Linked DNA regions of Drosophila melanogaster. The protein of the gene in region 1 interacts with the protein of each later gene in a pairwise test. Each region holds a gene or a part of one and is shown in the gene's direction. Other genes may lie near its edges. The genes, in order: CG16790 and PGRP-LB.

Region 1 (3,488 bases):
AATTAGTCAACACAAATTAATTAAAAACCAATAAAAGGAGAATATAACTAAGAGCTTATATTAGTTTTGCGGCAAAAGCAAAGTGCAAAAAAAGGGGCTGGCGTCGTCGTATTCCAGTGGCTGATAGTGCTGGTGATAACAGGAGCGCTAAGCTAATAATACTAGAGAAACATAAACATATGTGCATGGACCCCGGACTTTTCGGAAAGCTCAGTTGTAGATGGACGCCTGGTTGGAGCTGTTGTGCCTCAGTTTGTTCAGGAGCACTACTTCCCAACTGGTTTATCGCAGTCCCAGGCGATTGTTATTCCAGCGCTTCCAATCAATCAGCCCATACTCAACAAATACTTGATTACAGGTAGGCCATATAGAATTCCTCTCAATTCGCAAACCTGACCAGCAGTTACTCTGTGCATCTGCTATTGGTTGGACGTTGGAAAATATAGGAAAAACAGTAGCGTTCCGGAATGTCTGCCACTCCTCCAACAACACCTGCGCCCACGGCTGCAGCTTCCGCCGGAAAGGGTCTTCACTCCAGGGCATATAATGGACTTATCAAGGCCTGCGACAAGTATGTGCCCCCCAAGATGCGACCCTTGTGGATGCACCCAGCAGGTGATCATAAATAGAAGCATTTTAAGCACAGAGAGGAACTAACATATCTTTCCTTCAGGACCCAAGACCATATTCTTTTGGGCTCCAATCGTTAAGTGGGTAAGTTTTTGCACTACTTGCATAACCATGAACCCTGCGTCCTTAGCCAATTCCCATTATCACCGTACTGATAAACAAACCTGTGGGCGAATATTGTGTTTTATTATTATTTGTTTAGTTCTCGGCAAACCTGTTCAAGCCCGCGATAAATATGTATATATGTACTTATATACCATTTTCCTCTCCACGCGCGAGATTCTGATAACTGAATGATTGTGCGGTTTGTGGGGCTCATGGAATATTTCATAATACTTTTACTGTTTTGACTGGGGGGAGCTTTGCCAACATGCTATTCAGATTTGCAGTCAATGGGGGGACTTACCCTGCACTATCGGCCAGATCTCCCTAATCTCCGCAACCATTCCGTTTATATTCCACCACAGAGCCTCGTTATCGCGGGTCTCAGTGATTTGACGCGTCCTGCGGACAAGATTTCGCCTAACGGATGTCTGGCTCTTGGGGCAACGAACCTCATCTGGACGCGCTACTCTCTGGTGATCATTCCCAAGAACTACAGCTTGTTCGCGGTTAATCTCTTCGTGAGTCTGACGCAGCTCTTCCAATTGGGTAGGTACTACAACTACCAGTGGGAGCAGTCGAGGCTGGAGAAAAATGGCGAGCAATGCCCGGCTATTGAAGCCAGTTTGTAGTAGTCCAATTTGTGCATTTCAATGGATTTAGTCTAAATAAAAACAAGTTTTAAGGCTTTAACGGTCAATACATTTAAAGTGGAAATTTTACAGTAAAAAAATGTTAAAAAAATAAGTACTATTTAAATAATTAAAAGTGAATTTTATAACTTTTTTTTAATGTTATTAATTGCAATTTAATTGCTTAAAACAAAATAGTTTATCAACATAAATTTAAAACCAAGCTAAATACACATCACTTTCAATTTAATCGATAAATGTAAATAAAAACCGCCGAACATTGTGCTGTTGGTCATTTCTTGTTTACTGCAATCAAATAAAAATACATAAATAAATAATAATATGGCCCTGGTGGACTATGGTGGCAGCAGCTCCTCCGCCTCCGAGGATGAGGACTGCACCGAAAACATTCAAACTCCCGCGTTGATCACCTTGAAAAGGTAACGTCCTTTACTGGAATACCCGTAGATTTCTACATTATAACCGCCAAAGACCGGCCCTACCCAAAGCAGCCACCCTGCTGGGCCCCAAGAAGCCCAAGCCCGAGGAGTTCGTCGAGGATGTGGTGGATGATCCCGCGGAACATGGCGGCCGCATGCGTAGTTTCAAGCATGAACGGGGAAACTGGGCCACTTACGTCTATGTGCCGGCAACAGCATGTGTTGACCAGCTGGAGGAGTTCCAAACGGAGGCCATTGCTCGTCTGGAGCCACACTTGGAACTGCAGCCGAACGAGTCGCTCCATCTGAGCCTGAGTCGAACAGTGGTGCTGCAGTACCATCAGATCGATGAATTCTCCCGATCCTTGCAAAGCGCCCTCAACAGCTCTGCGGGGTGAGATGTTTAACCAAGTTAAATCTAGTATCTCCCATCCTGATGACCAATCCTCTTTTAGATTCGCCGCCACTTTGCAGGGGCTGCGGATCTACACGAATGAGGAGCGAACCAGGACCTTCATTGCTGCGCCCCTGGACGCTGCATTTGTGGAGAAGATGACTGCCATTCTGCAGCCCATCGACCAAGTGATGCTCGACTACCGGCTGCAACAGTTCTATGATCCGGCCTCGTTCCACGTCAGCCTTCTTTGGTGCGTTGGCGACCAGGAGACACTGCTTAACGAAAAGCTCACGGAGTTAAAAGAGCTCCTTGATGATCAGGACAAACTCTGCCTGGCGGTCAATGAGGTGCACCTAAAGTGCGGCAACAAGGATTTTACCTACTCGTTGAAATAGGATATTGCCAGTCTTTAACTGAATCATAAATATTTATGCATGCTGATCTTTCAATTGGAATGTAGTGGAAAATATATATTGACTTTATTAGGTATCAAAAATGTAATCTGTTCCATATTAGCTCATATATATGAACATATAAATTGTAGTTTGCTAATAAAAGCAAGATTGTAAAGCAAGCCATAGCGTTGAATGAATGGTTACCATTAGCAATCCAAAGATGTTTCCTTACAAATTAGGCTTAAATATAAGAAGTCCAGTGATTACCTTTTAATTAAGACCCTTTTTCTTGTTACCATTTCCCTGCTTGGCCGCCTGCGCCTGCTCCTCCAGTAATCGCTCCTCCTCCAGCTCCAAAAACCGCTGACGACGGCGGCCGAGCGGGGTCTTCGACCACCAGGACTCGAAAGCTTCCTCCTCTTCGCGGTAGACGGGATCTCGTGAGCTGAAAGGCATGGAAACTAACAACTAACTAATTTCATAGCCAAATCTACTTACCACAGAACATTGATCAGTTCGGCATTGGTCAATGGTTGGGTGCGCAGCTGGAGTTTCCGCTTGCAGGTCATCACCTCCTTGAGGCACGCATCGATGGACCCAATGGTATAGCCATCTGATATTTTGGCCATGGCGCTGGTGTCCAGATTGGAAATGCCACCAGAGTAATCGCTGTCGGGGTGCAAACCAAATCAGTAGATTATTTTGCAAATGAATCCCCCACATTTACGCACTGTAACAATGTTTTCCAGGCATGTGACATGGCGCCGTAATCCGGTCGTGGAATATAGATGAACCGATTGTAGACGGATTGCAATAGCTTTTGATCCGCCTCCCAGGGCAGATTGGAAGTGCCAATGAAAACGACGCGATCCTCGGGCGCAATGTTCTTTAT
Region 2 (5,137 bases), 1.9 Mb from region 1:
TATGTCATATGACAGACGACAAACTTTGGCAATAAATCAAACAACAGGCGACGAGCGCTGTTTGTAGGCGGTACAGCTTCAGCTGAATGCGGTTCAGCTCAGCTCAGTTCAGTTCACTTCGGTTTTAGCCTTCTGTGCGGGCATACAAAAGTGGGCGGTTGAGGAGGGGGTGGGGCGTGGCAAGAGAGGCACACGTGGAATACAGAAGCAGTGAAATGCCAAGATGCCACCGCTGTATAGACTTAATACACTTTCGGCACACACAAATTCACTTCCTTAATTGAAATTTTAATTTGAATACTTTGGCAAAGTTTTGGCCGACAGCCAGCTAGCGAGTGAGACAGCTCAGGCAGCAATAACAAACAGCCAAAAAGTCGCCGAAATCCAAATTCCCCGCCACCCATTTCAGGACCAATACCCCCCACCCAGCCCCTTACACAATTTCGCCCCGCGGATCCTTTGCGCTGGCAATCTCGCACAGGCTCAGCGAGTTTTCAATTTACGCGCCTCGCGAGTCGTTTGTCATTTTATGCGTCCTAATATATGGCATGTGCGTGCCGCTACAAGGATACCAGCAGCAGTATCCTTCGCCACCGCCTGGTATCCCCCCATGCTCAATTTTGAGGGGATACCAACCAGCAAGGCGTAACTAATCAGCACAGGCAATGATATGGCGACATCTGATGAATTGTTCGCACAGCCGAAGATTTCAATTGGGGGTGTTGGCATATACATATGTATATATATCTAAATGAATGTGCACGCAGAGAAAATTAATGTATCACTTACTATCACGATCGAAAAGCACTCCATTAAGTCCAAATCTGATGCCAAAATTAAATAAGGTCAGTTACTTTAAAATGAAAAAAAAACCCCCAACGTTATCTTTCAGCCGACGGGGAAGAGAAAAAAAAAAACCCGGCCCTTGAATTCGTATCATTAAATTACTACTTCTCATTATTGCCTGATATTCACAGTTGGCTCTCGGGAGCCATTTATAACGATTGCGATTATTCCGATAGGGAAAATGAAATATTGAAAACAGATAGGACGGCCAGTCAGTATCCGCGTGGAAATTATAGTGTGTTTCACTTTGCGCTATAGATAGATATAGATAGACTCTCCCACTTGCATGGCCAACGCCATCAAAGAGTTTTCATTGTGGCCCCGGGGATTCCCAGACGAGTGCAATTACTTTTGTTAATTGTAATACACACAACCCCAACCAACCAACCAACGCAGAGACACCCGTTTATTTGTCTAATGTGCGAGAGTGTAAAGCTTCTGGCTCGATAATGTTTACCTGGGTGAATACCCCACCACCACCTGGAGCTGGAGCTGGTGCTGGGGGGGGGGGGGTTATAAAAGAAGGCCTGTGATTTTGCGTGTGATTTTTGCCCCCCCTCGAAATTTTTTACTGGGAGAGCGTGCCAAGGCGTAGTTAGTGAGCGGCACTTAATACCCTGATAAGATGTGCGATTAGCGGGCAGCCAGTCGAATGGTAAGTTATGAGCACAATGGTCAGCGCTTCCAGCTGCCAAAAGTCGAATGCGCAATGCTCTAACCGGGGATTTTCGATCGGTGATAATTCAATTGATTTTTATCGCATATTAATTGTATACCCGATTTATTTGGGGGATTTTTGTAGGACTTAATGCATTTTCTAAACAAACATCTCGTATTAATGAGTACAGATATATACGAAACATTTTTCGCTGTGTGTTTATCTGATTTGCACACCTGGGTCGTTAAAATATATTTATTAGCATTGTATATCCACCTGCTTGGGCCCATCAAATTGACGACCCCATGCACACGAAAATAATTGTTAAACGTATTTATTTTTCATTTAACCTGCGGATTTAAGAACTTCCAAGTGGTGGACCTCTCGAAGAAAGAAGAGCAACTCAAGATTACAAGACCTAATCAACGGTCCCCTTGTTGCCAACGAACATAGAAAACTGCCTCTAAGACTTCGGACTTCATTTCAGTTAGCGTCAAAGACATTGGCAAACAACATGGGCGACAAGGTGTCTGGATCCGTCTCCACTTCTGGCCCAACTTCCTTGGCAATCCTCATGGACTCGGAGCAATTGGAGCAGCAACAGCTGGCCACAAGTTGTGGTAAGTAGCGCCGCAACTATTTTGCTGCTGAAAACAATTCAACAATTTCCAAGAGCGTTTGAGAGAAATTTCCCCTTTTTGAAGTGTAATAAATATTCCAATGCTGGGCGAAGGGGGGGGGGCGGTGTGGTCTGCGTGTTTACCTTGCCACAAGTATAAACAGCAAATAAAATAAGACAAGTAGAGGTTGGAGGAGAAAATGAGTCCGGTGATTTGGACTTCCTTTGGACGAGGCGCCAGAACGCATCTGGCGGTTATCCCCCGAAATTTTCGACTCGAAAAACCTGTGTGCACACAAAGAAAAAAAAACTAATTCAGATTAAGAGCGAGATGAAGATGAAGATGGAATGTGCTTGTTCGCCATAAATCGACGACGGAAAATAAAACGCTGTTAATTTGTCTAGCCATCCGATCTCGGCACTCCGACTAAAGCAATTTAATACCAGCCGCATTTGCAGCGGGATTCCCCCAAAAAAATCAAAGCGATCCCACCAAGGGGCATCCCCGATTCGAAAATACAACAAAAACAAAAATTAAATCACACGAATACATATTATAAAAGAGTATGTCCGGTGCCGGTGGTCAAAGAAAGCAAATGACACAGAGAACGACGGGGGCAGTGATGCTGTCACAGCAACCAGCCATAAAAAATCACGGTTTTGAGTTTTGGAATCGTAAACAACTGAAATCGTGCGAAAAGAATATCAGCTTTTATAGGAATATAATTTAAATAAGATATCATGTATCCTTACGTGTAAAACAAAGTAAACCCAAACTATTGAAACGATTCAAGTTGGTTCTTATAAAGGATTCAGACTAAAAGAATAATCTTTCCACTATGAACATAAAAAATGAGAATACATTTCAAAAATGAATTCAATTAAAAATCTGTATCTAAGTTAATATAAAGATTTCATTGAAATGGTTAATTTACATTTTTAAATAAGGAATTTCGTACGAAGAAATGTCACATCTGCGAGCTGTCAACCTTTGTTTTAACTCTAGTCTGTGACTATGTATTTAGATGGCATCAGCCGAATTTCCTGACTGCAAAAAATATTCAACAATTCAACTGTCACCTCCAGCTATGGAAATTGTTCGTTCATTTATCAAAACACAAGAAGTAAAACCGCAGATGTGAGCTCAAAAACGCAATATTACCATTTAAAAAAGAGATGGTTAAAGCAACGGATGACTCATAGATTTCATTTTGGGCGAATAACAGTGACATTAATAAATCGCCACAGGGAGATTCAAAAATAACGTAAACTTAGCCATTGGCAAATGCTAAGTTCAGTTCGCAGCTGTCTGATTATTTGCACAACCAAAGTCTTGAGAATTGGTTAAAAAAAAAAAAGTTCCCCATAGCTGATTTATGCCCTCGATAGAGGGTTCTTATCAGCAGCGACCTTCGAGAATGACCGATATTGAACTAGTTGAATGAGTGTCATTCTGATCCGTATGATCAGCGATCCGTATCACGGTAATCTAATCGTCACTTGCCAAAACAGTTGGGATTGTTAATCACTCACGCTTGTCGGAAGTTGTTATTGCGGGGCGTGAGTCGTGCCCTATAGTCTATGCAACGTTTTCAGTGATTAACCCTAATTGGTTATCTAAGTGTTGGGCCAAAGTGTAGTCATTTCGTGCACGCGAAGAAAAGTAACGATTTTGAAATAGGTTCACACATGAACAGTGGAACAGTAATCACTCAATGCAAAATAATCAAAGCTAATTTCAAACAAGTTGGTTTAAGTGAAAACGTTTGGCTGAATAAAGCAAATATTGTCTGGTGCCAATATTTTCTTTCTCTGCACGCGTATCTGTCATTTGGAATGTCGATTCAGAGTGACACGTGTGATAGCCCTCGTAGCCGCAGCGCTTGAAAAAGAACCCTTCGGATTGGCAAAAAAAAAAAAGTACCGGCGATCGGAGGAGGTAAAATGCGGTTGAATGGGGCCAATAAATTCGCGGCGGCATGGGTAATTCACCGCAAACGAGGCGCTAGTTCGATCATCGTATTAAATTTCCCTAAGGGCGACATCGTGACCTTAGCGCAACTCGCCGCCTGATAACAGCTTTATCAAACTCGGCTGCGACGTCAACGGCGGCAGCGGCAGCAGCAGAAGCAGCGGCGGTAGCCGCGACAGCGGCGGTAACCGTCGAGGCGCGGCAGCGGCGGCCAAAAGCTCACTCCGAGCGAAATCGAAATCAAAGAGCGAGCGGCGAGAGCGTTGGGGGGCCATAAGTTCGATGCGATTAGCCATTTGTTTGGCATTGCTCCCACGGCAGCGGCGGCGGTCACAGCAACAGCAATCGGAAGCAGCGACGCCAGCAGAGGCAGAAGCAGCAGCAGAGGCAGCAGCAGCAGTGCGAATTCGGTGTGTGAATTTTTCTATAAACTCCGGTCCGCCCTTATGCTGGCCAACATTCGCGCTTTATACGCTTGATACGAAGCATAACGCCGCTATGTGAGCGCTGCCGCACCAAAGTCTGACCTTCACACACTGTCGAAATTTTGCACAACTCTTGCCACAAAGCAAAAAAAAAATAAACGGTAGCAGTCAGCCAGCAAACAAACAACGCTGCAAGCAAACCAACAAACAAACAAAGAAACAAACAAACACAAAAATAAACAAACAAACAAGACAAGAAACAAACAGCGACTAGCAGTCGATACAAAAGTTCCTAAATCCAAGTCACAGTTCCTAAGCAGTTGGATTGCAGCAGCACTAACTTCGCAACAGCAGCAGCAACTTGGCAACAGCAGCAACATCGCAACAGCAGCAGCAACTTCGCAGCAACAGCAGCTAAAAGCAGCAACATGACAGCACTGGGATTAGTTCTGCTATCGATGATGGGTAAGTGCCGGGTGTTAGGGTGCTTTTCCTTATCGCCATGCCCCTGAGAACTTACCAATTGTGCAGATAGCACCCGGTATGGGAATGTGGGGCTATAAGATCGGGTTTTTTTTTTGAATTCCTGAGCGCCCAGCAAGTGCAATCTGCGTCAG

The links.
Region 2: the proteins of CG16790 (region 1) and PGRP-LB interact in a two-hybrid assay, tested with the Drosophila melanogaster proteins (one large-scale study listed by BioGRID).

The regions. Positions count from the first base shown.
Region 1 is NT_033777.3:9,568,359-9,571,846, reverse strand, and holds CG16790 (uncharacterized protein), read left to right. Parts: upstream 1-1,632; 5' UTR 1,633-1,706; coding exon 1,707-1,804; intron 1,805-1,856; coding exon 1,857-2,198; intron 2,199-2,259; coding exon 2,260-2,596; 3' UTR 2,597-2,773; downstream 2,774-3,488. Other genes in the region: CG9396 (uncharacterized protein), read left to right, coding at 468-615, 674-714, 1,098-1,364; CG16789 (uncharacterized protein), read right to left, coding at 2,867-3,041, 3,095-3,265, 3,328-3,488. UniProt on the Drosophila melanogaster protein: 3'-5' RNA exonuclease that trims the 3' end of oligo(U) tracts of the pre-U6 small nuclear RNA (snRNA) molecule, leading to the formation of a mature U6 snRNA 3' end-terminated with a 2',3'-cyclic phosphate.
Region 2 is NT_033777.3:11,457,434-11,462,570, reverse strand, and holds the start of PGRP-LB (peptidoglycan recognition protein LB), read left to right. Parts: upstream 1-2,018; coding exon 2,019-2,124; intron 2,125-4,550; exon of another isoform or gene 4,551-4,948; coding exon of another isoform or gene 4,949-4,985; intron 4,986-5,137. UniProt on the Drosophila melanogaster protein: N-acetylmuramyl-L-alanine amidase involved in innate immunity by degrading bacterial peptidoglycans (PGN). Probably plays a scavenger role by digesting biologically active PGN into biologically inactive fragments. Has no direct bacteriolytic activity.